Linked DNA regions of Solanum lycopersicum. The protein of the gene in region 7 binds, or shares a complex with, the protein of the main gene of each other region. Links are inferred from orthologs where the notes say so. Each region holds a gene or a part of one and is shown on either strand. Other genes may lie near its edges.

Evidence for each region.
Region 1: small ribosomal subunit protein uS17c (region 7) and small ribosomal subunit protein uS10c share a complex: the UniProt entries of both Arabidopsis thaliana proteins name them as parts of the 30S ribosomal subunit. The link is inferred for Solanum lycopersicum from reciprocal best matches to the Arabidopsis thaliana genes RPS17 and AT3G13120.
Region 2: small ribosomal subunit protein uS17c (region 7) and small ribosomal subunit protein bS6c alpha share a complex: the UniProt entries of both Arabidopsis thaliana proteins name them as parts of the 30S ribosomal subunit. The link is inferred for Solanum lycopersicum from reciprocal best matches to the Arabidopsis thaliana genes RPS17 and AT1G64510.
Region 3: small ribosomal subunit protein uS17c (region 7) and 30S ribosomal protein S13 share a complex: the UniProt entries of both Arabidopsis thaliana proteins name them as parts of the 30S ribosomal subunit. The link is inferred for Solanum lycopersicum from reciprocal best matches to the Arabidopsis thaliana genes RPS17 and EMB3137.
Region 4: small ribosomal subunit protein uS17c (region 7) and small ribosomal subunit protein cS23-like share a complex: the UniProt entries of both Arabidopsis thaliana proteins name them as parts of the 30S ribosomal subunit. The link is inferred for Solanum lycopersicum from reciprocal best matches to the Arabidopsis thaliana genes RPS17 and PSRP3/2.
Region 5: small ribosomal subunit protein uS17c (region 7) and small ribosomal subunit protein cS23 share a complex: the UniProt entries of both Arabidopsis thaliana proteins name them as parts of the 30S ribosomal subunit. The link is inferred for Solanum lycopersicum from reciprocal best matches to the Arabidopsis thaliana genes RPS17 and PSRP3/1.
Region 6: small ribosomal subunit protein uS17c (region 7) and small ribosomal subunit protein bTHXc share a complex: the UniProt entries of both Arabidopsis thaliana proteins name them as parts of the 30S ribosomal subunit. The link is inferred for Solanum lycopersicum from reciprocal best matches to the Arabidopsis thaliana genes RPS17 and PSRP4.

Annotation. Positions count from the first base shown.
Region 1 is NC_090809.1:1,050,955-1,055,024, reverse strand, and holds the start of small ribosomal subunit protein uS10c, read right to left. Parts: upstream 2,801-4,070; 5' UTR 2,633-2,800; coding exon 2,426-2,632; intron 2,161-2,425; coding exon 2,113-2,160; intron 1-2,112.
Region 2 is NC_090807.1:67,612,550-67,616,638, forward strand, and holds the start of small ribosomal subunit protein bS6c alpha, read right to left. Parts: upstream 2,801-4,089; 5' UTR 2,686-2,800; coding exon 2,335-2,685; intron 422-2,334; coding exon 182-421; 3' UTR 1-181. UniProt on the Arabidopsis thaliana protein: Binds together with bS18 to 16S ribosomal RNA.
Region 3 is NC_090804.1:939,434-943,070, reverse strand, and holds 30S ribosomal protein S13, read right to left. Parts: upstream 2,198-3,637; 5' UTR 2,119-2,197; coding exon 2,005-2,118; intron 1,618-2,004; coding exon 1,393-1,617; intron 779-1,392; coding exon 611-778; 3' UTR 501-610; downstream 1-500. UniProt on the Arabidopsis thaliana protein: Located at the top of the head of the 30S subunit, it contacts several helices of the 16S rRNA.
Region 4 is NC_090802.1:7,166,393-7,170,524, reverse strand, and holds small ribosomal subunit protein cS23-like, read right to left. Parts: upstream 2,801-4,132; 5' UTR 2,694-2,800; coding exon 2,445-2,693; intron 853-2,444; coding exon 571-852; 3' UTR 365-570; downstream 1-364. UniProt on the Arabidopsis thaliana protein: Component of the chloroplast ribosome (chloro-ribosome), a dedicated translation machinery responsible for the synthesis of chloroplast genome-encoded proteins, including proteins of the transcription and translation machinery and components of the photosynthetic apparatus.
Region 5 is NC_090804.1:4,043,275-4,046,859, reverse strand, and holds small ribosomal subunit protein cS23, read left to right. Parts: upstream 1-1,350; 5' UTR 1,351-1,437; coding exon 1,438-1,659; intron 1,660-2,686; coding exon 2,687-2,968; 3' UTR 2,969-3,085; downstream 3,086-3,585. Other genes in the region: homologous-pairing protein 2 homolog, read left to right, coding at 3,551-3,578. UniProt on the Arabidopsis thaliana protein: Component of the chloroplast ribosome (chloro-ribosome), a dedicated translation machinery responsible for the synthesis of chloroplast genome-encoded proteins, including proteins of the transcription and translation machinery and components of the photosynthetic apparatus.
Region 6 is NC_090804.1:66,172,126-66,175,569, reverse strand, and holds small ribosomal subunit protein bTHXc, read right to left. Parts: upstream 2,213-3,444; 5' UTR 1,990-2,212; coding exon 1,812-1,989; intron 1,710-1,811; coding exon 1,645-1,709; intron 755-1,644; coding exon 632-754; 3' UTR 501-631; downstream 1-500. Other genes in the region: uncharacterized protein, read right to left, coding at 3,439-3,444.
Region 7 is NC_090802.1:65,817,206-65,820,593, forward strand, and holds small ribosomal subunit protein uS17c, read right to left. Parts: upstream 1,955-3,388; 5' UTR 1,903-1,954; coding exon 1,441-1,902; 3' UTR 1,440-1,440; intron 952-1,439; 3' UTR 501-951; downstream 1-500. Other genes in the region: photosystem I reaction center subunit VI-1, chloroplastic, read left to right, coding at 3,228-3,358. UniProt on the Arabidopsis thaliana protein: One of the primary rRNA binding proteins, it binds specifically to the 5'-end of 16S ribosomal RNA. Required for optimal plastid performance in terms of photosynthesis and growth. Required for the translation of plastid mRNAs.

The DNA.
Region 1 (4,070 bases), on a different chromosome or scaffold from region 7:
GATACTACACAGCCACGATGAGCTTAATGCTGAATTAGAACAGCCACTGGACGCTTCTCAGCGAAGTTCATAGATTTAACTCGTACTGAATAAGTATCCAAGAGCTGGAAGGAGAAGCCCGAGATCACTTCACACCTCATGGTGCTTACACCTCTTGCATATCGAACAATAACTTTTCCAAGTCCATCCTAACTTTGAAATAATATTTTTGCAGGGACTCCCACAGATAAAACTTATAAACTGAGGGAAGCCTGTTCGTAAAATTCATAACTAAGTGAGAGTTAAAGGCGGAATCTGCAATGACCTTTCCAGTTTCATTAAAAACAGCATACTCCTGTGCAACCCACCACCTTCCAGTTTCACTATAATTCTAATATTTTTTCAGCTTACATGGACTTCTAGAAATGATTCAAAGATTTTCTTTTAGAATTCATAGCTGAACACAATTACTATCAAGCAAATAAGTGAACCAAAAAATCGCTTTAATCAAACCTTTATGAAAGTAGTCTTGATAGAAGTGAACATTTCAACCAATAATATTTTCCGATCAATGTTACTTAGTAGCCAGAGAGAAATACAACTCAAATTTATCCTTGAAGAGGATTGTACACTAGGAGTAATATTAATGACCTTGTTACTATAATAATGAAGCATCCCAACACAGTAGTGAAAGGTCCGAAAAGCATTAGATGTAGCTCGTGCATGCTTTATCCATTAGACAAATTTCTGTACTTTTGCTTCTTGATGCATCAATAAAAATTCTTAGAAGAAAATTATTCAGCGCACACAATTACTTAGAGGAGACGGCTAAGAGATAATCAATTCACTACTAAAGCTCCAGGTTACTTAAGACTTTCAGTAACTGAGGAAGACCAATTGGTTCCACAATCACCAATTTGAGGAATCTAACAGTGAAGAACTTTGTACGCTCATTTATCAAAAGTTGCCTGGCTGTTGAGCAGATTATATCATCATTGCAAATTTCCCTATAAGAAAATTCCAATTCACTGCAAGTGAATTTTAGGGTTGCTTCACTAAGTGGTATAGATAGAGTAGTTTTCTGATGTGATAATCTGCATGTCACAACTATTCTTTTTTTCATGTCCCCATGTTCTCCTCCAGCCATGAGGCTAGCTTTTGTCAGCACCAAGCAAAAGAATGTTATCATTCTAATACATTTTAAAGTCACTAGCCAAAGAAGAAAACAAACAACAAATATTTCATTAAGACTATGGACAAACATACAGCTCTATCCTATTTCATAACTGTTACCAACAAAAAAGAAGTATCCATCTCAATTAAGGCTGCAGCATAAAATTCAAAAAAAAAGATGTGTTCACACCAACACAAACAAAAATAAGCTTGAGTGATCAGTTACAAACACCAATACTGTATAAACAGTAAATGGTTGATTCCTAAGACTTGTCTAGTGTGTAAACTTCTACATGAGAGATAAACGGTTTAAATGGAAACATCTTAGTCATAATACATTGGCAAAATCTTGACTACATTCTCTTAGATAGAAACAAAATGCACATAACATAAAGCAATGCAGAAATCTCAGAAGGAATCACGAGTCATCAAACATCACCCCCTAAAAACACTGCCTATATGAACTTCACAAAAAGCACAGCGGTGTCCCAAGCGAATAAAGGTTACAGATTGAGATAGATTCACTAAAATAGTCTACTTTCACTGAACCATCTCCACCCCACCTCAATAATGGTGAATGTGTACACAAGATTCCTTATACGCAAACTCAACTAATTTAGGATAGGCAAATGCACTAGTTGATTTTTTCCATCTATTCAAACCTTGGTATATATAGGTGGATTCAGAATTTGAACTCTATGGGTTTTAGCATCGAATCTACAATATTTTAAAAGTTATGGATTAAGACCTACTAATTGTTGTAGTCTCAGTGAACCTCTACAAACTTTATATTTATACTCAACATCATAGTAGTTGGCTCTATGAGGCTACATTCGCCTTTGTCGGTAGACAGAGTTACCTGATACCAGTGCTTCCCAGAGGTACCAAGTGCGGGCAAGTTGGTCCAGACACCACAGTTAGTAATTAAAAAATTAAAGGACTGGAAGAGAAAAAGTTTACCTTGTCAGAGTCACCACCAATACTCAGCGTTGAAGCAGCTAGAATATCCTATAAATAAAGCAAAATGACAAATACTCAACATCGATTCAGCAAAATGAGGAACAACCAGCAACAATTCAGTAAAAGACGAATACCCAGCAACAATTCAGTAAAAAGACGAATACCCAGCAACAATACAGTAAAATGAGGAATACCCAGCAACAATTCAGTAGAAAGACGAATACCCAACAATAATTCAGCAAAAAAAAAGCATTTTTTTTAATGTTAACCACACAGTATAGTCTACTGAAAATAGCCCAAATAATTAACAAACCTCAACATCAGCTTCAACATTCTGGGCATCCAAAACTTCAGGAGAAGCAAAAACCTTAGTTGTAGACACTCGAGATTGGTTGAAAACTTGTAACTTAACAGAATTTGAATGCAAAGACAGAAGAGAAAACTTGGGTTGTGCAGAAATGGAAGATGAATTACACATTGGAAAAAGAGCTGCTGAGAGTGAAGACGATGAAATCGCCATTTGGGTATTCACTAAAGTTCGAATTTGGTCTCTAATGGAGATTGGAGCTCTCCTCCTTAGGAGCTTCTTCAATTTTTCTGTGTTTTAAAGCTTATCCGAAGAAGAGAAATAACTATACAATTTTCTGTACAAGGCTTATCCTTATTATGTATTTTCCCTTTTTTTATTGCTTCTTAGGCCCAAATATTTACCTAGTATTTGGACAACATTTGAATTAATTTTCTAATTTTTTTTTTGTTACGTTTGATAATTGATATAATACATAAATAGATATTTATATTTGATTTCTAATTTTTTTTTGTTATGTTTGATAATTGACATAATACATAAATAAATATTTATGTGACTTGAGTTGGAGTATTCAATTATTAAGTGTCTAGATGTACATACTCAAAAATTGAACTGCTTACTTATAAATTTAAGTGTTTATTTACGTATTATGTTTTTGATAATCAAACTTCAAAGTATCGCTATCTCCGAAAGAAAAATATTCTTGTGTTATTTTGGAAAAATTGACATAAATAGCTATTCATCAAATTGAAAATTTGAAGTTTTGTGAGTATGTCCTAAAAACTAGTCTTAATCAATTTTAGGAACGTGAGAAATATTTGAAGATAAAATAAATCTAATCAAATTTCACGGCTAAGCAGATATTTGAAGTTAAAATTTCAAACTCTTTATCACCAAAACGCTAGTGAATTGTCTCTCTGAGTAGGAGAAAGGACAACCTCATACTTCAAATGACGACAATTAAAAACTCGATAAATAATGAATCAACCCATCTACTCATACTCTTCTCCACTTAAATATCAAGTAGGCTTTCATCCGCAAAAACTTAGAACCCTCACATGCACGTAACCCACACACCATGTATTCTACCCATTTACTCGTACTCTTCTCCACTTAAATATCAAGTAGGCTGCATCCGCAATAACTTGAAACCCTCACATGCACGTAACCCACACACCATGTATTCTACCCATCTACTCATACTCATACTCTTCTCCACTTAAATATCAAGTAGGCTTCCATCCGCAATAACTTGGAACCCTCACGTGCACGTAACCCACACACCAGGTATTCTACCCATCTACTCATACTCTTCTCCACTTAAATATCAAGCAGGCTTTCGGAACCTCACATGCACGTAACCCACACACCATGTATTGCACTCTTACCGGTAGAAAAGAAAACCATAGTGGTCAATATTCCATATAAGTAAATCTTATGAATCATATGATGCAATCTTAATGTCTTGAAATTCAGAGAATAATACATACTGAATCAACCAGCTGCTCCCACAAACATTGACATTCTTAATTATTACCAAAGAGAAAAAGAATGCAGGCATGTTGTTAGAGGATCAACTATTCTCAACTGGCACAAATATTTTGGCTACACAAAAATGGGATTGTAGTATTACGTCTATCTATCAACT
Region 2 (4,089 bases), on a different chromosome or scaffold from region 7:
TGAGCAGAATGTAATGGCAACTTTCAGTAATATAAAAGAATGTTACAAATTGATACTGTTTTGCTGTGAAAAGGACTGTCATGACTTAAACATCTGAAAGGCGCGATGAGGAAAACTTGCCTGCTCTCTGTTATCGTCTTTTACAACTGAACAGATACACAAATTAAACTAACCAACCAAACTAGTATTTTCTTTTCCTAATCTTGAAAGTGGACGACCGGATAACATCATCATCAGCTACCAATGTTGCCTCAAGAGCTACAATGGATTCAGGTTTAGTAAAATAAGTGAACAGGAGGTAGATACCGTCCAAGTACGTATTTGTCTCTCCAGCTTTGTTTTTCCTCCTAATGCTGTATGCAAGTGGAATAACCCCTCGGTTGAAGACTTCCACATACATACCACCACCAGCAACCAGCAACTGCCCAAGAGAAAGAAAAACAAAAGATTATAACTTGCATCGTCAAATAGCATGTACAACTGAAATTGATCGGAGACAATATTAGTTAGAACTGTTCAATCCATAACAGAGTTACTATAAGTCTATTATGTACTTTTAGATGAGATGGTCAAGTATAATTTTAATATTTCCCTTCACGTGTGGACTTGTGTAAATCCTTTTTTGATAATGTGTGGCAATGAGAGCCTGATCCGATACCATGTTGAAGAGAGTTTCTTTGGTTGGTTAGACGGAGTATCTGACAAAGAGAAACACAAAACATGGGAAACATTGGCACTTACAAGTGTGTCTATTTGATTGACCTGTTAGGCAAAAGCTGAAACGCAGTAAATGTTGGAACAAACATAGAACAAAGACACGTGTGCTGATGCTTAACTTTTTTCTCTCTTCAAGCTTATCAGGGATTTAACTAAGTGAAAGTTTCCCCAATCATTTGTAGGTGAAAGATGACAGATAGTTTAATCAACTTTAAGTCCTTTCATACTCAGTGCAATCCCACATGCGGGATATGGGGATGTTGGTGGGTACGCAGCCTTGCCCCTACCTAGTAAAGGTATAGAGCTATTCCAAATAGACCCTCGGCTCAAGTGAAACAAAACAACAATCAGTAAGAAACGGAAATACAGTAGTAAACGGGTCATGTAGAAAATAGAGTTTCATCAACTTTAAGTACTTCTATTATTGTCCTCCGCAGCTTTGCAAGCCTATTTTTCTTATAGACGTCGACTATAACATCAAAAATGAGATGGGCAAACAAAAATACAATGATCATCCATGTTCACAAAGAAGAATGATAAGGTGATAATAGTCATCAGACCAAGGCTTTTGGACTCGAAAAGCAGATAGAGAAAAAGAACAAGATTAAAAATGAAAGCTCTTACATGGGAACAAGAAGAATGAAAATTGTAGCAGAAGCTGAGACTAACTTTCTTCTTACTTAGATCATGTCCATGTCAGCTTAAATTATAACAAAATGTTGAATTATGCACCCAAACACTGTTGACTGTTGTTAGGTTCAAATATCTGATTTTTCCAAAGAATGGCCTTCTAGTGAGTAGACAAAAAAACAAAAAGGAAGAATATTCTTGGACAATCTTGTGCTTAAATAAATTGCAAGGTCGATATTGCTTTTGCTTTCAGGTTTCCGCCTCTTAGCAGACAAAGAAAGAAAAAAAACAGTTTTTTTAGCCAAGAGAGGGGAATGGAAGAAATTCTCATCATGTCAAACCAAATATCAATCACTTGTTCTGTTTCCTAAATGATCTCCCTGTTTCAAATGAGTATAATTATCTTCATTTCCCAGTTCACAATGAAATCAGCTGAAGAGTATCAAATGATACTATATGCAGCTCAACTTCTGATAAAAATACTTACTCCTTCAGTCCTAATGTGTGGCAACCTTCACTTCTCATTCATGAACTATGACAAACATATTAAAAATTTATTCTTTGCCTTCAGCATAGATACTAAGAAAATTACAATAACAACAACAAAAAAACAGTGAAACATCACAAGAGGGGTCTGTGGGTAGAGTATACGCAGACCATACACCTATATATTGGAGGTAAAGAGGCTGTTTCCGGAGAACACTCGGGATACTAAGAGAATTATAATACTTTCTCATACAAAAGGAATTAGTCTAGTTCAATTTATCTCCAAAAGTCAATCAAATTGACCCTAAATAAGCAAAATGCGCCAAACAAAATGGAAAGAAACAGTATATTAGTTTCAAAAATTCAATCTTTAGAACTCTCAACTTCAACTCTAATGCTCAAACAGTCAAATCAGCAATTGAAAACTTAGAATCCACCCAAATTGAGCTTAGCACCTTGCAAGTTATATCAGTTTCCAAAAACAAAAACAATCATTGTTACCTCTTCGTATTTCTGGGTAAGAGCAAGTCTTTCATCTTCAGACATATCAGGTCTCAATACCACCATTGTTTCATAAGGGCGTAACCCAGGTGGACACTGCGGTTCCTCTTTATCTTCAACTGCAGAAATACCCGACCATGGTGTAGTCGGTGGTTCATCAGCATTTCCTCCTCCAAATCCACCCTCGAAAAACGAGCCCGAAAATTCTAGAGTTTGGGCTTTCAAGATTTGCCCAGAATTGTTGACCCTTTTGGTGAAACCTTTGAAGTTGAAGGGTATTGAAGGTTTAGAAGAAGAGAGAGTGGAGGTAAGAGATGGAAGTACTGATGGAGAAGAAGAAGAAGACGCCATTCTTGAGGGAGATAAAGTGGATAAGAAAGAGGAAATTCACAATTTTCAGTTCTGAGTTGGTAAAATTGTACAAGTGAAATTTATTGCTTTTTTTTTGTTTAGATACCCTCAAGACTTGTAAATGCTACTTTACTCCTTTCTTTTTATTTTTTTCTTGCAAAATTTAAGTCATGGATTAAATTTGATTTATTTTTAATTAATTGAAAGTGATGGTTAATTGTTCTATCACTTAATTTTCATATAATATGAAATTGTATTGGTATTTCATGTTTTACGGTAATATTCGTCTAAAAATACTTTAATCCTCTTTAAAAGAATTAATCAATTCAAGATTAAATGTGTTTAGTTCGATATTATAAGGATCAAAATCAAAATTAACCAAGTTAAAGTGACTATAAGAGGCCATATTTATTTATTTATTGGCAGTTTGTGTTCCCTCTTAACTATAGTATAAGGAGGTAGAAGTAAGCAAAGTTTTGAATAAATAATTTGGTGAAGATCTCCTAATGAACAAAGAATCTATTGTAATGTATTTAGCATAACAAAAACATAGCACTTTCTATATGTTAAATCAAATTGCATTGTTCGAGTTATGTTTGTTGAATCGAGAATTGTGATCTTGTACATGATTATGTTGTTGGCAATGTACTTGACGAATGACTAATTGAATATATCAATTGGATCTTCCATTTATGAAAATAGAAGATAAAAAGGATAATTGGAAGTTTGCAATAGAAGTGGAAGCAGGTGTATATATTAAGTATATATCCACAAAACAAAGATATTGGCTTATGAGTTATGACATGAGCCCAACACCCAAAACAGGGTAATAGTTTACTGGGTTAGAAGAATTTACATGAGCAGCAAGGTGTATCCTTCACAAGGCATGCATACACATCACCCTCCCCAAACCTGATGGGATCACACTGGGTATGCTGTTTTTTGTTGCTAGAAAGATCAAAATCCAGTCTCTTTTGACCCCTCATCACTCTCCTAGAAGCATTCAGTATTCAGAACTACTATCTATATCTATACTAGTAATAGGTCTTACATCAGTATCTACAAAAAACGGGTTCTTTCTCCTACACATGGTTAATAGGTAGAAGTAAAAGAGCGAAAAAACTGAGCAAGAGTAGCCAAGAGGCCATTATGATTCGAACTTGTCACACTGAAGATCAAATATTTAGCATTTCCGTCCACTTAGCTATTCTGTGAAGGGGGTATACAAGTTCTAGGCTGGCACATCTTTAACAAGCTTAGAAACTGGCAGTCGATATATGAAACTACATAACAAAGGTACAGGTTTTTCTAACAATGAAAGGTTAAAGTTAAAGACACGGGCTTTACTCATTATCATTACAATCTTAACTACAAGACTCCCTTTCATCACAAGAATTGGTTCAC
Region 3 (3,637 bases), on a different chromosome or scaffold from region 7:
TCTGAACATCATCACTATTGAAAAACAGAAGTCATGGTCTTCAAGAAACCTGAGAAAAGTGAACCTTCTTGAGTACTAAAGGGGTGGGACTTAACTTTCATGCTCATGCATGTGACAAAAAGGTGCCACAAACTCTATGCTTTTAGTTAATTCTCAAAATGACCTAACGAGTCATTACATTAACAATGCTATGACTCAAATTGTAAAACTTTGGTATCACATTAATGCAAATACTTGGCCCAAACACATTACTGAACTTGAAGCTTAAACCAAGGCTCATAGATAGGGACTGCACTTCATAGGTCGTTACATCAACAATTATTATGACACCTAACGTAACTTAACAAACCTTTCTCCTGTCAACCAAATCATCCAATCAGAATAACGTAAATTCGCAATTACTCCACATGAAACACATTTAACAAGATTTAAGGAAGAGATTATGCCTAAGCATCAACATTCTTCTTGAAAAGCTCTTATCTTGAAATGTAGAAAAATGATTTCAATGGAAAAAACTGTTTATAACAAACAAATGCACAGTTTGCCATAGGAATATAGAGTGTAACTTTTACAAGTTAGTTACCAAAAGAAATGAAAAATCGATCTTGATTTAACGAGGTGCCTTCTTCTTCCCTGCAATTGCTACTTTCTTGCCCTTCAAAGTACGGCAATTGTTCTTTGTTCGTTGTCCTCTGCAAGGCAATCCTTGGATGTGCCTTACTCCTCTATAGCACTGAATCTCCTTCAACCTCCTAATGGCAAGAGCATTGAATCTCCTCTGATGCCAACACCACAAGTATGTAATCAATTTTCCCGTTTCAAATAGGAAGCCGAAGCATCAATCAAACAAACAACCTTATACACAAGAATCTCAATCAACATTGCCAATTGCTAAACAAGCTATCGATTTCTTCTGAAATACATTTCCATAAGAACTGTTTAATTTGGGATAAGGCTGTGATGCATATAGAAGCCATGATCCTACATACCCACCTAACAATAACTCCCCTTGTTTCGATTTGTTTGTCCGGATTTGACTTGACACAAAGTTTAAGAAAGTAAAGAAGATTTTTCGATCTTCTGGTTTTAATCTCAAGATATGTAGAATGCAGTTTCAGCTCAAATATGGTTCTTTCCATGTAAAAGTTGGACCAAAGATTGGTTTAAGATATTGTTTTTTTGGTTCAATTCCTATCTTGAGACAAAATGAATTAAATTTCTTAGAACCCCAAATGGCATTAAGTTAAACTATAGAGCTAAAATAAACAGCAACCACAGCAAAGTTACATGAACTAGATATCGAAATCAAATTACCTAAGCATATAAGTTTCAATAAGGATATGCACATTGGAACGAAAACAAATGAGTACAAATTAGAGCAATGAAACTCACAAGGTCTCCTTCAATCATGTACTTAGAGACTTCTTCACGAAGAGTGATAAGTTCCTCTTCCGACATGTCTTTCATCACTTTGTTCTCCATTTGAAGGTCTACCAGAATCTGGCGTGCAGTGGTGCGGCCAATTCCATGAATGTATTGCAAAGAGAACTCAACTCTTTTGTTGTTTGGAACTTCCACTCCTCCCACACGCACACACTTTATAACCAAACCTGCAGTCTACACAAAACTCATTTCAGTTCAAACTCAAAATCATGGAAAATTTAGCAAAACCCAATTTAATTCCAACTCAAAAAAGTCCAAAAATATGAAAAATAAGCAAACCTCAATTCAATCCCACCTCAAAAAAACGGAAACTTTAGCAAAAAAAACTCATGTTGGGTTACTGAGAAAATTTCGAAAAATCCAAAAACTCATTCCAATTCCTACTCAGGTAAAAAAAAAAGTAATCTTTAGCAAAACCCATGTTTGGTTACTGAGAAAATTGCGAGAAAAAAAAAGACAAACCCCATTCCAATTCCTACACGAAAAAGGTCAAAAAATGTAAACTTCAGCAAACTCCATGTTTGATTACTGCAAATTTCAAGAGAAGGGAGTGAAGTGTACCTTTGGAAAAGATGTGGGAGTAGAAAAAGAGAGGGAACTGTGCTTGGAGATGGAAGATGTGTTGCAGATAAGGGAAAGAGAAGGAAGTACAGGAGTTGCTAGTGTTTGCGCCATTGTTGAAAATCTTGATTGATGAAGAAATTGAAGAAGGAAGAAGATAGAGCCTTTTGCTGGTCTATTTTTCTTATCCTATTGGGGAAAATTGGATAGGGAATGGAGTTCTTCTTTTCGACCTGGTTTGCTAATATGGAGCCCCGGTTGTTCTTTTTTTTTTTTTTTTAAATTTTATTTTATTAATATGGTATTCGGGCTAGTTTTCATGCACTCGACTAAATTCACCGATGTCTATCATACTGTCACCTCCCAATAAGGATGTGGAAAAATCGAATCGATCAATAAACCTATTAAAAAAATGTTATTGGGTTATTGAATTATTGAGTTAATGGATTTTTAACGGATCTATAAAGGGTTTTTGATTAGGTATCAATTTTTAGTATTTGGTTATTGGATGAATCGATAACTCATTAAGACGATAGTAATTTATTACTATGCACTTTATAAATATTATTAATAATTTAACATAACTAGACATTATATCAGTACTCTACACATTTTACACGTCACATTACTTCTATTTTACATCTGAAATTTCATATTATGTTTTGGTTGTAACATGTAATTGTAGCCTTCGTATTACATCTAATTGAAATGAAGAAAATATTAGCTTTACAAAGAAATCTCTACATTTCATTTCTGATATCGCTCTTTTTATCTAAGGCCTAACCTAAATTTGGGGCGATAGAAATGCGAGTTGAAAATAAATTTACATGATCACTTACCAATTGAATAAAAAGAAAATTGATCTTTTAAAATTTTGTAGGCATAAAAATAAAGATCTCTCATGGGCAACAATAAAAAATTCTTATAAACAACATAAGATTAGAAGTGGTTATAAAATAATAAAGCAAGAACAAGAAGAATATTTTAGAGAAAATTAGAGAGAACCTATTTTTAAAGTAAAGAATTTTATAAATTTTAATACTCCATTAATTTAGTAATTTTAATATTATAAGATTATAACTAATAAATTTCATGACTTACTAATCCTATAAATTACATCTTAATGGGTACTTCAAACGATTCTTATGAGTTGTGAGTAATTTACTTTATAAATTCCTAAAAATAAAACACCTTCCAATTGCAAAATCCTACGAATTTGCTAGCAATAACTAATAACTGTTTATGCGGCATTATAAATAGCAACTTAATTGCCACCCATTGAAAAAATTAAAATTTATCCATATTAGATGTTTATCGCAAATAAATAAATGCATAATATGTATATGTATTGAAACATACACAATAATTTTAATTTATGATTAATTAACATGTATTTCTACTTTATTAAATCATTAAATTTAATTTATTTTTAAATATAAATTGTGGCGTAATGATGAAATTGTGTCACCCTTAATCAGATGTTTCACGTTTAAAATCTTAGGTATGAGGAAAGTTTTGCTGGGAGTGCCACTCTTGAATGAGTCCACAATGCGCCGCGATCAGAATTTGTCGGGGCTCTAATTAATTGCAAGTTCAAGCCCTAGGTATCAAGAAAATTTTGTTAGGAACGTCA
Region 4 (4,132 bases), about 59 Mb from region 7:
TCGTTGTTCAACCCCAAGCTATATGGTAAGAAATATAAATCACTAGCCTAATTCAACCCCAAAACTTAACTCATTAAAGGGATAGTCCAAGACCATATAAGGATACCAAATGACCCTATCCCAACCAATGAGGGACACTTTAACAATATATGATGGGGCCAACATCGAAAACGATGAATTGCGATGGGTCTGGATTAGATACCTTTGATGAGAAATGAATCTTGGACCTAGCAAATGGAGAAGGATTAGCCAAGACTATATAAAGAGACCAAATGAGCGTACTATCCCCACGACGTGCGATACTCAACATAGATAAATTCCTACCATCAGTACAATTTAATTTTGTTTCTGTTAGATGTTAATATTCATGAAGAACCAAGGCTAACATTTTAAGATATATAGTTTACAATATGATCCAAAAACTAAAGGAAACAAGAGGAAAATCTAAACAAACAAATTGAATAAGTTTTGACTGACCTTTCAAGTGAAAAAAGTTACAACATAACAGGCATGATTGCTAAAGATAAATGATGAACAGTGGCAGCATGACAAATCTTGTTCTATGAAGGCTTAGGCTAAATCACCACCACTCTGTTGCCACAAATTGATGATATCCGTGGCCTGATTAAGAAGAATAATTGCCTGTTTCTGGGATATCCATGGTTTACTCTCGAGCATGACTTTAAGTTCCTCCCAAGCATCTTTTCTAGGCCAAAAATAGTAGGGGCTCAACGGAATCGTGCCATGACCAGGAATTACCTGGTCTAGTGAAATTCCGATGTTCTTCTCCATCCAAATAAACTTCAACACTAGCCTAGGTTTCTCCAGTGGCTTGACCAACACACCGAGCTTCTGTACATCCAGCAGATTGTAAGAGCCAAACACCATAATGAAAATGGTGCAAATATTATGAAATTCTTAAAAAACTAAATAAAATGAGAATCAAACACCAAAATAAAGATATTGCAGACATAACTATGTAAATCAAAGCAGTTCGTCTCTAACCATTGAACTTATAAATGTCTTGAGACATTCACGCAGCATAGTATTAAAGTACACAGATGCATTGGTACGAAGAACCAGCCATCAATTTGGTCCAAGAAAGAAACAGAGCCGAGGAGACGTGTTGCATACATAACAAAATAAATAAAAACAATTTTTTTTAACAGGTTAAACAACTAAATGAGACATTCACCCAACATCGTATTAAAACGACAGATGCACTGGTTTGAACCGTCATCCATCAACTTGGTTCAAGAAAAAAGAATCGGAAAAGAAAACTAATCAAACCCGTGGAGATCTGTTGCAGCCTTTCAGACATAATAAAAATAAAGATAAAAGACCAATTTTGCTTTTTAAATTTTTGAAATAGGACAATTATGTCCTCCATTTCGTTTTATGAAACAAAAATGCCATCGCTGTTAGCCAAGTGGCTCAAAATTTCCCTACTCACTAACGGTTGTCCCACTCAGATGGAAAAGGGACAAAGTTATCCTCCAGTCCTTAAACAAAGTCAATATCACCCACAAAATTTTGGAACCAATGAGGCATCTGGTCATGTTTAACATTTTATATATCATCCCTAACGAAAACAAATTTATTTGCTTGGTCATTAATGAATATTGATTAGGTATTAAGAACTTGTTCTTGATAGCAAATCTTCACAAATTAATGCTATCTTTTACGAGAAAGACCTTTTTCCTGTCAACTGAAAAAAGATACTAATAACGTTCCCATAGTATAAAGTTAACTCGAATATCTACTTTACGCTAGTACGGAGAGATTGAATGTTATGATATAACTGAATACAAACTTACACTTTGATCAACTTAAAAGATGATAGCATAGTAAGAATGTGATTTATCAAGCCAGCTAATGGCAAAGGTATTTTTGTGCCAAAAACCGAAACGGACAACAAAGTAATCTTATTTCAAATAGTTCAAGAGAAAAATTGGCCCTTTTCCTATAAATAAATCTGCCCCATTATTCCTAAGCTTACAACTTTTCTTTTTTAAAATTAGTATTCCAATTTCCAGGCGATCCCCAAATCGGAAGAAACTACATATTATTCTTCATAGTGCCTCTGGTGGATTATTACATGGTCTTCCATTGTAATCTTTTTCATTCTAGTTCTATTGACAATTAAGACACACCCTTGGATGCAAAATCTTTTAACATTAAGAGGATGGTTCACTTCCCACAATTCAACAAAAAACTAAAGGATTATAACGGGCAGCGCGATGCACTAAGCTCCCTCTGGACCATGTACTGTCCACAGCCTGGTGCACTAAGCTCGCCCCCGAAAACAAGGGCCAGTTGTGCAGGTGTTGGTTGGTTAACAAACAGAAACCAAACAATGGATAGGAAATAATCGCAGCATTACTGATACTTATACACACTCTACCAAACAACACCTAAGAGGGAAGTCAGAGAGTGAAAATTACCTCTTTTTGAAGAGAATCTGAGGAAATAGAATCACGGGTCGATGTTTCTTCAGCAAAACTCAAGGCAGCCGCAGCTGAAGTAGCAAAACCCCCAAGATTTCTTCTGGGTACGATTGCTGAGACATTAGAACGTCGAGAAAAAGACTGCCCCTTTGTAAAGAAGACAAATTTGGGTGAAAAAAATTGGTTTTGAGAAGAAAACGCAGGAACCCAATTCACAGTAAGCTGTGTAGCCATTGATAACATCATTTTCAACAGCTAAGGGGAAACTCAGAGCTTCTCTGTCATTGTGTTGTGTTCTTCATCAAAGTCTAGATAAGAAAAAAAGATCCGACACAATATAACCCGACCCGGATTTTTTGGGGTTGGGTAAATCTATTTAAATGATAGCCTAATATCACGGATTTCGACTTTAAAAGTGACGGATCATGATACTAAACTTTATAAACTATCGAATATCCACCAAAAATTAACTTAGCAAACTTTAGTGTTGGGACTATACTTTAGGTTATTGTTTAATTATTTGGACTAATTTCAGGCTAATTTAGGCCGATATAATTGCAACAATAGCCTAAAATTTCTGAATTATATGTTATTTGTGGATTGGAGTACAATTTTTGGATAATTTTAGATAGGATATATTTCTAACAATGAGATTATATTGTAACAACAATGCTTACTCAAATGATTATTCTATGTCTGGACATTTTATTCAAAGAAAAAAATAAACTTGGTTCTCTATCCTTAAGATGATTGTGATACAATGGATGGTAAAAGGTTTAACGAAACCAGAAATTATAGTGATTCAGCGGCTAAGAAGGGACCTAGAATATTTACGACTCCACTTTTAAATACCCTTCACTCCCTTTAAAATGAAGTCTTTCTTTTTTGATAAAGTGATCAAAACTCGTAAAATAAATCAATATATCATAATATTATAATGTATATCAATATCATCTATGAATCGCAATAACATAAAATATGTTAGAATAATTAACTCGAATCGAATAAAGAGGAAAAAAAAGAAAAGAGGAGGCCAAATACAAAATGGTCAAAAAGTGTAGTTTTGGAGTAAACTAACCCAAAAGAAAACCGTGAAAGCCAGCGCGACTCTAACAAGCAGCCACACCAAACAGTCCTTTAAAACGGGTCAACCCGTGAAACACGTAAATCTTCAATAACCCTTTCTTTTTTGGCTTTAAATTCACTTCAATTTTTTTCATTTTTCCTTCTCATTCAATATCCTTCTAATTGGAGTTTCTTCTTCTTCGTTAGAGACATCAATCACCAGGTAAGTTGTCCAATTCAGTTTTCATGTTATTGATTGGTTCAGATTTAGAGATATACCATTAGATTCTGTTGCTGGTCTCTCTACTTCATAGAGACAATACACTTGTAGATAAAATGTTCAATAATCCTTTGAAGTCTTCCACTTTGTTTGAATAATTGTTATGTATTGTCACATAATGTATCGTATTCAATGGCAGAGCCACCTTATAGTTAGGTTCATCCCAACCTCGTTCGGCGGAAAATTATATTATTTATACATGGTTAAAATAGTTTTTAGTTACATATAGTAGATGTCAAACCCTCTTCGACCTCTTCTGCTAATTAGTATTTTGAATCCACTTACTGAAAATTCTGGCTCTGCTGTATTGTATTTTGTTGTATTCTTAATGAATTTAATA
Region 5 (3,585 bases), on a different chromosome or scaffold from region 7:
CTTCTGATCAGTCTATTTATTAACTCAACTCATTTTGACTCATTTAAATTCAATTCAACTCATTCATTTGACGTTGTTCTTATCATCATTCTGTAGAACTTACATTTACGACTTGACAACACATCCTTATCACATAGTACCCTAGTACGAACCTTCATTTTATCCAGTCCATTTCAATTATGCAATGTACGATATCATCATCAATCTCCGTTCTTCCGGGATACGACACCTCTAGCCCAATATTAGCTCTTAGGAAAAATAAAACCAAGCGTCACATTGATCATAAAAATATACTTTTTTGTGTATGTAAAGGGCAAATTATAAGTATGAATTGAATTAGTGGTTTCTTCAAATTTGCAACTCATTTTGATCACTTCATAATTAATATGACTAATATTAATATTATTATTTTTTTATTATATGATTTTGTCAATATCATAAAATTCAGCTCAAGTAATGTTTTTTCTTCATAAACTTGAATGAGTAGTACGCATGGACATATATATCAAAAGTCGTCTCTTTTACTAATTATGTAGAAAATGACATTGAAAGAAAAATATTTATGATATATGAACTTCATTTTCAATTTTTTTTCAGATCTTATTAAAAAGATGGCTTTTTATTAATACCAATAAGAAAGAATGTAGCTCTAGGACATTCTTAATATGCCCCTCTTTTGTTAATATTAGAGATTTAATTTCACGAATAGTCAAAGAGGCATACATATATCACACTCATCCACATGTTCAAGGCGCAACATCTATCTCAAAAAATGATTTTCTAAAAATAATAATGATAGACGTGTTAAAAAAGTAATGTGAAGTCATTGTCGAGAGAGTTGCTGACTAATGACCTAAAAAAGTACGTAACATTTGAGAAGCACGAACAATCTTCACCCATGAGATACATTCTACTTTTTTTTGAATAATCAGATAATATTGATCAATTTGATTAGGGATGACAAAATTAATCTATAAAAATCTGATACTCATAAGTTTTGTCTACTAAGAATTGTAAACTTGATAAAAGTTGAACATATTAGACTACGACAAAATACTAACCCATCTTATCTCAAATTTATAATCTTCAAACAAATCGATACCACTCGTTTATCAACACAACTTTAACTCTCAAAAAATTGTTCAATCCGCTCGTTTGACATCCCGAATCAACTCAACGTTGCTAAATATACAAAATTAGTAAAGCTATGATAACTAATGATCATATTTCTTTTGGGCCCAAATCCCATAACATGACCAAAGTCCTCACCCATAGGCCTCTTAGCCCAATTTAAACAACTTTCATTTTTTTTCTTCTATTACCTTATCCATTCTATCATTATCTCAAATTCTCTATACACACTCTTTTTAAGGCCACAATTTTCCCACTTCACTTTTTTTCATCACTAGACAAATATTTTTTTTATCTACACAAAAAATGTTATCAATGTCTGTTCAATCTAGCTTGAAAGGCAATTTGAGTATCCCTTCTTTACCTTCACAAAATCCAGGTTATAAATCCTTCAAATCATGTTCTTCATTATCTTTTAACAACAAAGGTTTATCAACAAGAAGAATTCATAAGATTTTTGCTTCAGCAGTTGCAGAAGCAGAATCAGTTGAAGTTGAGACTTCAGAGTCTGTTGTTCAAGAAATTGAGGTAAAAAATCAGCTCTTTAATTTTCAATTAGGTAACTTTTTTCGATAACTTAGTGTCTAGATTAGTTTTTGCGCTACTCAATTAATTTCATGAATGGTAGTGTTACTTCTCACTAGTAAAATTGAGTAATCTTTGTCTGATTTTGACTTGATACGTAATTTAAGAATGTAAATACTCCCTCAATCCATCTTTACTTGGTCATTATATTAAAAATAGTCGTCTAACAATACTTGTCCAATTTGAAAAACATGAAAACCCTTGATATTGAATACTACTATTCAATATATAATACATTTTCCAAAGCATCAAATTTATATTCAAAGGATAATATAGTAATATTTTAGAATCATTTGATATATACGACAAATCTAGAATTTTTAAGTCTTTGAATTCACTTTTACTATGATTATTTAACACGTACTGTGTTGTTCGACTTTTCTAAATATGAAATGGTAGTCCAACAACTTCTTAATGAAAATGAGTAATAACTAGCAAATTTATGAATGTTTTAATTAATAAAAAAAAGGCATAATTGGGGAAATATATTGATCATTTAGCTAAAAACAGAACAAAAATGGAGTTAAATTATAGCATTACCTATAAATATAAGTTATGTTTCGACAAAAACTAGATATATCAATTCGTACCCTCGAGCCCTAAAATTTTAGTGATGATGAATTCAACCTCTAGATCAAACATTTGTGTCATATACTTGCACCCGTACCAAAACAACATAATGTATGTACATATTGACCCAAAAATAACAGATTCAGTTGAACACTTGAACACATTTAACTCATCCTAGCTAGATACGCCTATGACAAAATCCAATCTCTGACTTCCACCCGTGTCAAATACTCAAACTCGTATTGAAACGTCTACATTATTAAAGATGAAAATAAGAAGTTCAGTTGAATGCACATAATTCATTCCAGATACGTACGACTATATAAATAATAAGCCCAAAAAAGGATAGGATATTATGTTTTGATATCTTATAGTGAATTCTTGGATATATTTTTTTCAGAAAGTTGATATGAAGAAAAAGGTAATTGAGAAGCCAAGGCTAGTGCTAAAATTCATATGGATGGAGAAAAATATTGGACTTGGCCTTGATCAAGTTTTACCAGACCATGGAAGTGTACCATTAAGTCCATATTTTTTTTGGCCTAGAAAAGATGCATGGGAAGAGTTGAAAACAACACTAGAGAGTAAGCCATGGATATCACAAAAGCAAATGATTATTTTGCTTAATCAAGCTACTGATATTATCAATTTGTGGCAGCAGAGTGGTGGAAATTTGACCTAATTGTTGTTTTTGGTATTTATTTGTAGACAAATTGTTTCAACTTTCTGTTTTTGTTTTATCTTATTTTTAACTGTACTATAGTTGATGGAGAATACAATTGGAATCATTTTTGTTTCATTTTTTAAATTGTTTAATGTGTTCTGACTGGACGATAAGATAATCAAAATTTGTGAATAATTTAATAAGATAGGTGAAATGAAGATAGTATCAACAAGTTTTATACGCACAAAATTGAAACCATGGCCGATTTTGTTTTCTTTTAATTCAATATATTTTTTAGCGATTGTTCATCTTCCACCGCCCGTTATATTTGGACTTTATTATGAACTAAAAGCCCGTAAAGTCTCTCTAGTTGGGTTGGTTCATCCTAACAAGGCCCATGGGCTCTATGGCAACTCTCACTTGAAACTTGCGATGGAAGAATCCTCTTTTCGTAATTAGTGGCTATACTAAGGGTAAGTTCCCGCGATGTTCAACTACGACATCGTATAAAGGCCTTCGTGCCCAATGTTTCCTGTGAATTCGAAGTACAGAAATTTTGACAGAAGTTTTTTTTCCCGCGCTCTGTGAATTCTCCAATCCATGGCTCCTAAAGCAGATAACACTGAAGGTAACTT
Region 6 (3,444 bases), on a different chromosome or scaffold from region 7:
TGGTGACCCAAACAAAAGAAGTTTTTTTGTGACTGGATTTGCTCACTCACATCTTGACTAATTCTTCGAGGTAAAGGTTACCTCCAACCAGCACAGATATGGAGTAATTCTATCCACGAAGGTCTAAATAAGAACCACCTAGGGGTCATTTGGTAGGATGTATTAGCTATGACATTTTTTGATCCTTTCTTTGTTCGAGGCCAAAGTGCCCTTGATAATATATCAAACCAAATAGTGGGTAGGAAATAGCTCCAACATAACTAATCCCAGCATTAGTAATACACTATATATTACTATTCTTATACACTCTACAAAAAGACCTCCTAATGTGTTTGTCTCCGCTAGTATATGAACCTAAAACCTCGTGGTTTTCAACCCATAAGGAATGTGGGGTTCTCTAAGCTTTTCACTTTTCTCAATAGCTAAAGTAGTGACTATTACCACTTGTCTACTGAAGGTTGCTAGAACCAAAATGCATAATTTAACAGGACACAAGAGCATTTAAACGAAGACCCTTCAAGCAAACTAGAAATCTCAGTCCAAATGATTAACTTAATCGATATTTCAATGAAATAAACAAAGTAGTAGAAGATTAGAGCTACATAAAAATGAAATTGCTCCTCCGAGAAAACTATGGGTCATGTATTTCAATTTTAACGACTTGGCCATCATCAAATGGATCTCTCTTTGGTGCTGCTGGTGGTGCTGCAACCCTAGGTGGTCCTCTTCCCTTCTTCTTGTTCCTTGGCCTTGCCTAAACCAATTCATACCATCGGAATCAGTTCAAAATAACAACAAAAAATGTCGAAACAACTGTTGTTTTTTCACTATTTCTGTCAAATCTAACGAACATAAATTGTTAAACGTATGATGATAACACTCTAAACTTCAAAGTACTAAAAATTGGTTAGAGCATATTTAACAGACTATTTTGAATCTATCATCAACATTGGTGGTTAACGAAGAGGGTCGAGAATCATGAGGTTTCAGGTTCAAATTCTATCAGAGACAAAATAACACTAGGTAATTTATCCCATCTATTGATAAAATTAGTCGAGATGCATCTAGGTTGCAATCAAAAATAAACTTCAAAACTTTTTAGGGGTCAATTCGTCTAAATGTATGAACAATTGAATCTCAGTATAAAATTCTATAATATTAAAAGCATTAAACTCCTGCATTAATTATGCAAAACCTTATGCACCAATAATCTTATTCCAAGTGAATCTATAAATCATTTTATATGGAATTAACATTCATTTAATCAAATATGAGTTAAAAAATTATTCATATTAAGTAATTTGTGTTGATATCTTATTTATCAATTTCAACAAAACACATACTTCTCTTTTCTAAAATTTAAAGGCATAAATACATTAAATATCTCATGGAATTATTTATTCATCTTCGATACACTCGTTATTTTAAGCCAATACCTTTAACTCAAATATGCAATAAATTTAATCTCAAATTCTATTTCGAGATTATTATTCTTATTCCACGTATCAAACTAGAATGTTAGTGTAGGATTCTCCTAATATAGAGGAGGTAAGTGTTTGTTTATAAAATATACAGGGGTGTATCTGAAACTAAATCATATTAAGGAGGTCTTATCCTGCAATAAACCAAAATATACAAACTCACATTGCCAAAGGAGTGATTGAACCGCTTGCCTTTCGCCGTCTTCTTATCACCTCTACCGCAGTAAACTGAAAATGAAATCAAATCAAAATTTCAATTTCTCGAACTGAAACTTCAATCATCACAAAATTTTCACAAACAATAAATTCGAAAAGGTATGTGATTCGTACCCAATGGGAGATTTGAATCAGTGAGAGACGAAAACGAAATTGATGGTGAAGGAGATGCCGCCGTAATTGAAACGCTGCCGGCGACGGAGTGAGAACGAGAGAATGATAAATTAGGAGAAAGAGAAGCCATGGATTGAACAGTACTCATAGGAACTGAACCAACTAACAACGACGCCATTGCAGCAGCTCAACTGATAGAATTGAGATTTTATTTGTGGTGGTTCTATAGCTTCTTATTCTGTTTCTAGATAATGTGCCCTTTGTCTTTTTTTTATTCAAATACCCCTGAATTAAGGTAAAATTCACTTATTTTTCCTTGTTTTTTTTTTTTAAAAAAAAAAACGTTAAGAGTTACTTGGATGGTAAATACCATTCATTTTAAACTTTAAAATTGTGAATTCAAGTTATCAGAAGATCAATTATTTTTTATGTAAAAGTATATCAAGCAATAAACTGAGACCTGAAAAGGATTGTTTGGAACGAGAAATAAGGAATAATAGTGTTATCTCAAACTCTATCTGTTCCTATTTAGTTGTCCATTTTAGAAATGACAAACATATTAATATAGCAATAATTAGAATAGTGAAGTTACAATTTTGCCCTTATTAATTATGATTTCGAAAAAGATGAATTAAAACTTAAAAATTTTCAGGAAGCTTAAATAAGAATATAATAAGAAAAAAAATTATCTTTTTTTATGTGTGAAAATAGACAAATAAATTGCAAAATGAGACGGAGGGAGTATAAATATAGTTAGATTTCATCACATACATAAAGAAATTTTAACATATATAATAATTAAGAGAAGTAATGAGATAATAGTACACCTCTATGACAGACTACTTGTCTACATTAACAAAGATATTTATTCAAAATTACTTGTCAAATTAAAAAATTAATTCTATTTTTTTCCATTTTGCACCTTAAATCGACTCTTTTTGATTAAAAATATAAATATTGTAAAGTTCCTCTTTTGTTATTAACAGATAAAGACACAAAAAATAGAATTTATGAAAAATAATTATAACAGTAAATTAGTAAAAAAATAAATATTTTTAATATTTCTTAAAAGACAAGAAAAAAGAAAAAAATGTACGTTGATATACAATGTAGGAAGTAACACAATGATTAATCATACAAGACATTCCCAATTGATTATAATTTTTTTTTTACCAAACTCACTCAAAAATACAAAAATATATTAATAACAAGTCAGTCAAAAGATGAAATACCCTACTCTACAAAAATTTGAGAACTCAATTCACTTATTATCGACCACAAAATTGACCTCGAACTATGACAGTACAGATTCATATAGTCGACCTCAACTTGTTTGGTACTGAACCGTAGATGTTGTTGTTGGTGGTGGTGAACAGCTCCCATGCAAATCACTCTACTCAATCTAGACACAGAAAATCAAGAACAAATAATATAGCCATTTCCCTACAGAAAAAAAACACAATAGATCGATCATTCACGTTAGTATTTATTCAAATATGTGATTTAAATCGACGTCTTGAGGAACTTCTTCTCCACTCTGTAGTTAAAATTACCAGAAGCATAAGGGAATCTCACCATTTTTCTCCTTAGTTTGATGCATTTCTTGAACAATTTTTCTCTGTTACGACTAAAC
Region 7 (3,388 bases):
TCATCGAATGTTTGTTGCCTCTTAAATGATATATGCAGATAGTGTGTATGATGCATCCCCTTATCCAGGTTCAAAATATGAGAGTCAAATGATGATATGCCCATTGATGCAGCTTCCTCTTTGCTTGTTGCTAAGGCATTGACGGTGAAAAGAGGAAAAAAATTATCTCTCACGGGTGCAAAGATGAACAGCATTTACGCATATGAATCTGATAAAAGATCTAGCTAAAGTAGCAAAGCTTCTTGACTGCGCTAGAGCAAAAACTTGATCAAAATATCCTAATCTACATAAATCAATCATTATGATAAATTGTTGCCTAGAGCATATTGTCTCTTATGATCATAGACTAACCTTCTATCCAAGAGCTGGAAAATTAATGTTCCGAAGATAATTATACTCAAGTAAAACACATAGCATACCATTAATACAAATTTCTTGGCAAAACAAAGACACTGTCTCAATGCCAGTCTCTCCGCCAAGATAAAGGCAACCACCCAATCTATGAATAATATTTTCCAATTACAAGAAGAAAATATGAAAATGTTATCATGGATTATACATCTTAGGTTTCATATGGTTCATTCTTGCAGCCAGGGAAAAATCAAAAGGACAAAGCAACCTTCAGAAGACACATTTTCAGATAATTATCACTAATATTATCTCTTAGTGGCATGATATGTGTTAACAACGTTGGTCAAGCAATTCATTTGTACATTTTTATAGTCCCAAATCCCAATCAATACAGAAGCAGAAAATGACATTGCAAGCTGACTAATCGAAGTTGAACTTCTGTTATACCTAAAACTGGACCAGTACATGACCATCAAGTTCTGATATTCTTGCACCATCAAAAAGTCACTAATTTCCTCAATTGATCTTGTTCACTAATCCACATGAATCGCAAGAATTATGCACACATTCAACTATTTAGTTAGAACTCCAATACACTGCCTGTAAAATGAAGAAGCAAAATTCTAAGTTTCCCAAGGGAAGCTAATTCAAAGTTTTTGTCTTTGAATCTCTGAAATTTGAAATCCACAAAGAACACTTCAGCTACATTAATAACTCACTACGATATGGTTCAATAATCAGAGACAGAGCCATGATTTCATTGAGGAGGTTCAAAATCCGTAGAAATAGGTAGTCGAAGGGGTTCGACATCTACCATATATATATATACATATAAACTTATTTTAACCATGTATAAATAATATAGTTTAATTCCGGGTCAGGTCTAATAAAGTAGAATTCGAGGTTCACAGATAAAAGAGGATAAAATTAGCAACAACTACAAAAGCAACAATCACCATTGAAATCTAGTAATAAACTCATTATCATCTAAAAATCAGTCAATTAAAAATACATGATTATCATGAAAACATAACAGAAACCAACAGACAAACAAAAAGAAACTGAACAGTACAAAAGAAAGCTCTCACTCTAACTCGTCTGCAGAGATTCAAGCGGAAGCCCAAGTTCCTGATTCTCTTCCTCCTTAACCTTGGTCTGGTTCCTCGGTGGTACAGGTATAGCAACGAAGGTCTTGGTCTTACTAATGGGCCTACTCTTTTCAAGCTGAACATAATCCCCAACTTGAAATTGGTTCAATGGGTCATGAGCTTGGTACTTCTTCTTCTTCCTAACCCTACGTTTGTACTTTGGGTGAGGAGCAAGACGAGTAACTTCCACAGAAACGGTTTTGTCGTTTGTGGAGCAGACGACTCTGCCTTGCATTGATCTCATGGCTCGAATTGGAGGCAGGAAAGCAGGTGGAGAAGGTTTTTGGGAAGTGATAGAGGATGAGGGTGTGGAGAGACGAGAAAGAGAAGAGGAGCCATGGAGAAAAGGGGTGGAAATGGTGAGGGATTTGAATTGAGAGAGAAGAGGAGAAGTTACAGACATTGTGTGAGGATAACACAAAAGAGATGAGGGAAAGAGGAAGGATATAGATATATACCCTTTTTCTTGATTTTTTTTTTTAATTGCCTTTAAAATGTTAGGTTAATTACATTTGATACCCCTACAGTATGATTCAATTTCAAATACATCCTCTATATTATAAGATCAAACACTTGCATCCTCACATATTATGAATATCTCATGCTTACCCCCTCTATGAGATATATTTTCTTTTCTTATTTTAACAACTATTTAATGACATCATTTCCATTTTATTTTTGTTGGGTTTCACTTAACATATTATTTTGAAGGAAAGTCAACTGAAACTTAGTACATAACTTTAAGGAATACAATTTAATAAATATAATAAAAAAAATTTAATTTCTTAAATTTTTATTTCTGATTAAATAGTATCACGTAAATTGAGATGATGAGTACAATTATTAAAAAGACCAATCCAGAGATGCAGTTGAATTCCCTTCTTATAAGATATTCTTTTATTTTATTACATTTGAACTATTGAATTTTCATAGTATAAGATTTCCTTTTCTTTTTTTTGTTATATTTGAACTACTGAATTTTCATGGTTTAAGATGTTTATAAGCATATTGATGTAGAGAGCATGTGAGTCGATCCTCTAGGTGATCTTACTGAGTATTCAACAAGACTCCAGCCAGTAGTCTCTACCCAACTTGTTGAATTTCTTTCGTATAAGAAAAATTATACTAAAGCGAAGAAAGGACATTTAAATTTTAAAATTATTTTATATAAATAATAATAAATAAATAAATTTTATAAGTAGGATTTGTAAAAGGTAAAAACAAATCTTATCTCTATTGGGGAATAATCAAGTCTTAACAATCTGAAATCATTGTCCACGTCTTAAGATATCGAGTGAAATTTTATTGATAGTAATTTTTTTAAGTATTCAATTGTAGCATGCTTTTATCCGAGACATATTTCAACAATAGGAAAACACGAATATATATAACTTTCTAATGCTTAAATTGTTTTAAATTCCGTATTTTTTTAATTTAAATTTCATATTCAATCAAATACTATCATATTAATATCTATTTAATGGTATAATAACCTACTGAACGTTTTTTTAAAAAACCACAAAGGATAGGCTTATCCAGTCTACGACACGTGTCCCCATACTAGTGGAATTTTAATATCTAGAAAGATACCCAATTTGCCATATGTCCTGTTTGGATCCACCCAAAAAGATCAAAAACCGAAACGTATCGACATTTGTGCCAATTGCCAGCCCAAAATTTGAAGTCTGAAAGTAGTAGTTTCTGTTTAGTTTGTTGAAGTGAAAAGCCATGGCATCTTTGGCAACCCTTGCTGCAGTGCAGCCAACTACCAACATCAAGGGCCTAGCTGGAAGTTCAATCACTGGAACTAAGCTTCATCTCAAATCATCTCGTCTCAATTTTAACCGCACTAAATTCAGGTAATAAAGTCATGCCTTCTTTACTTAATT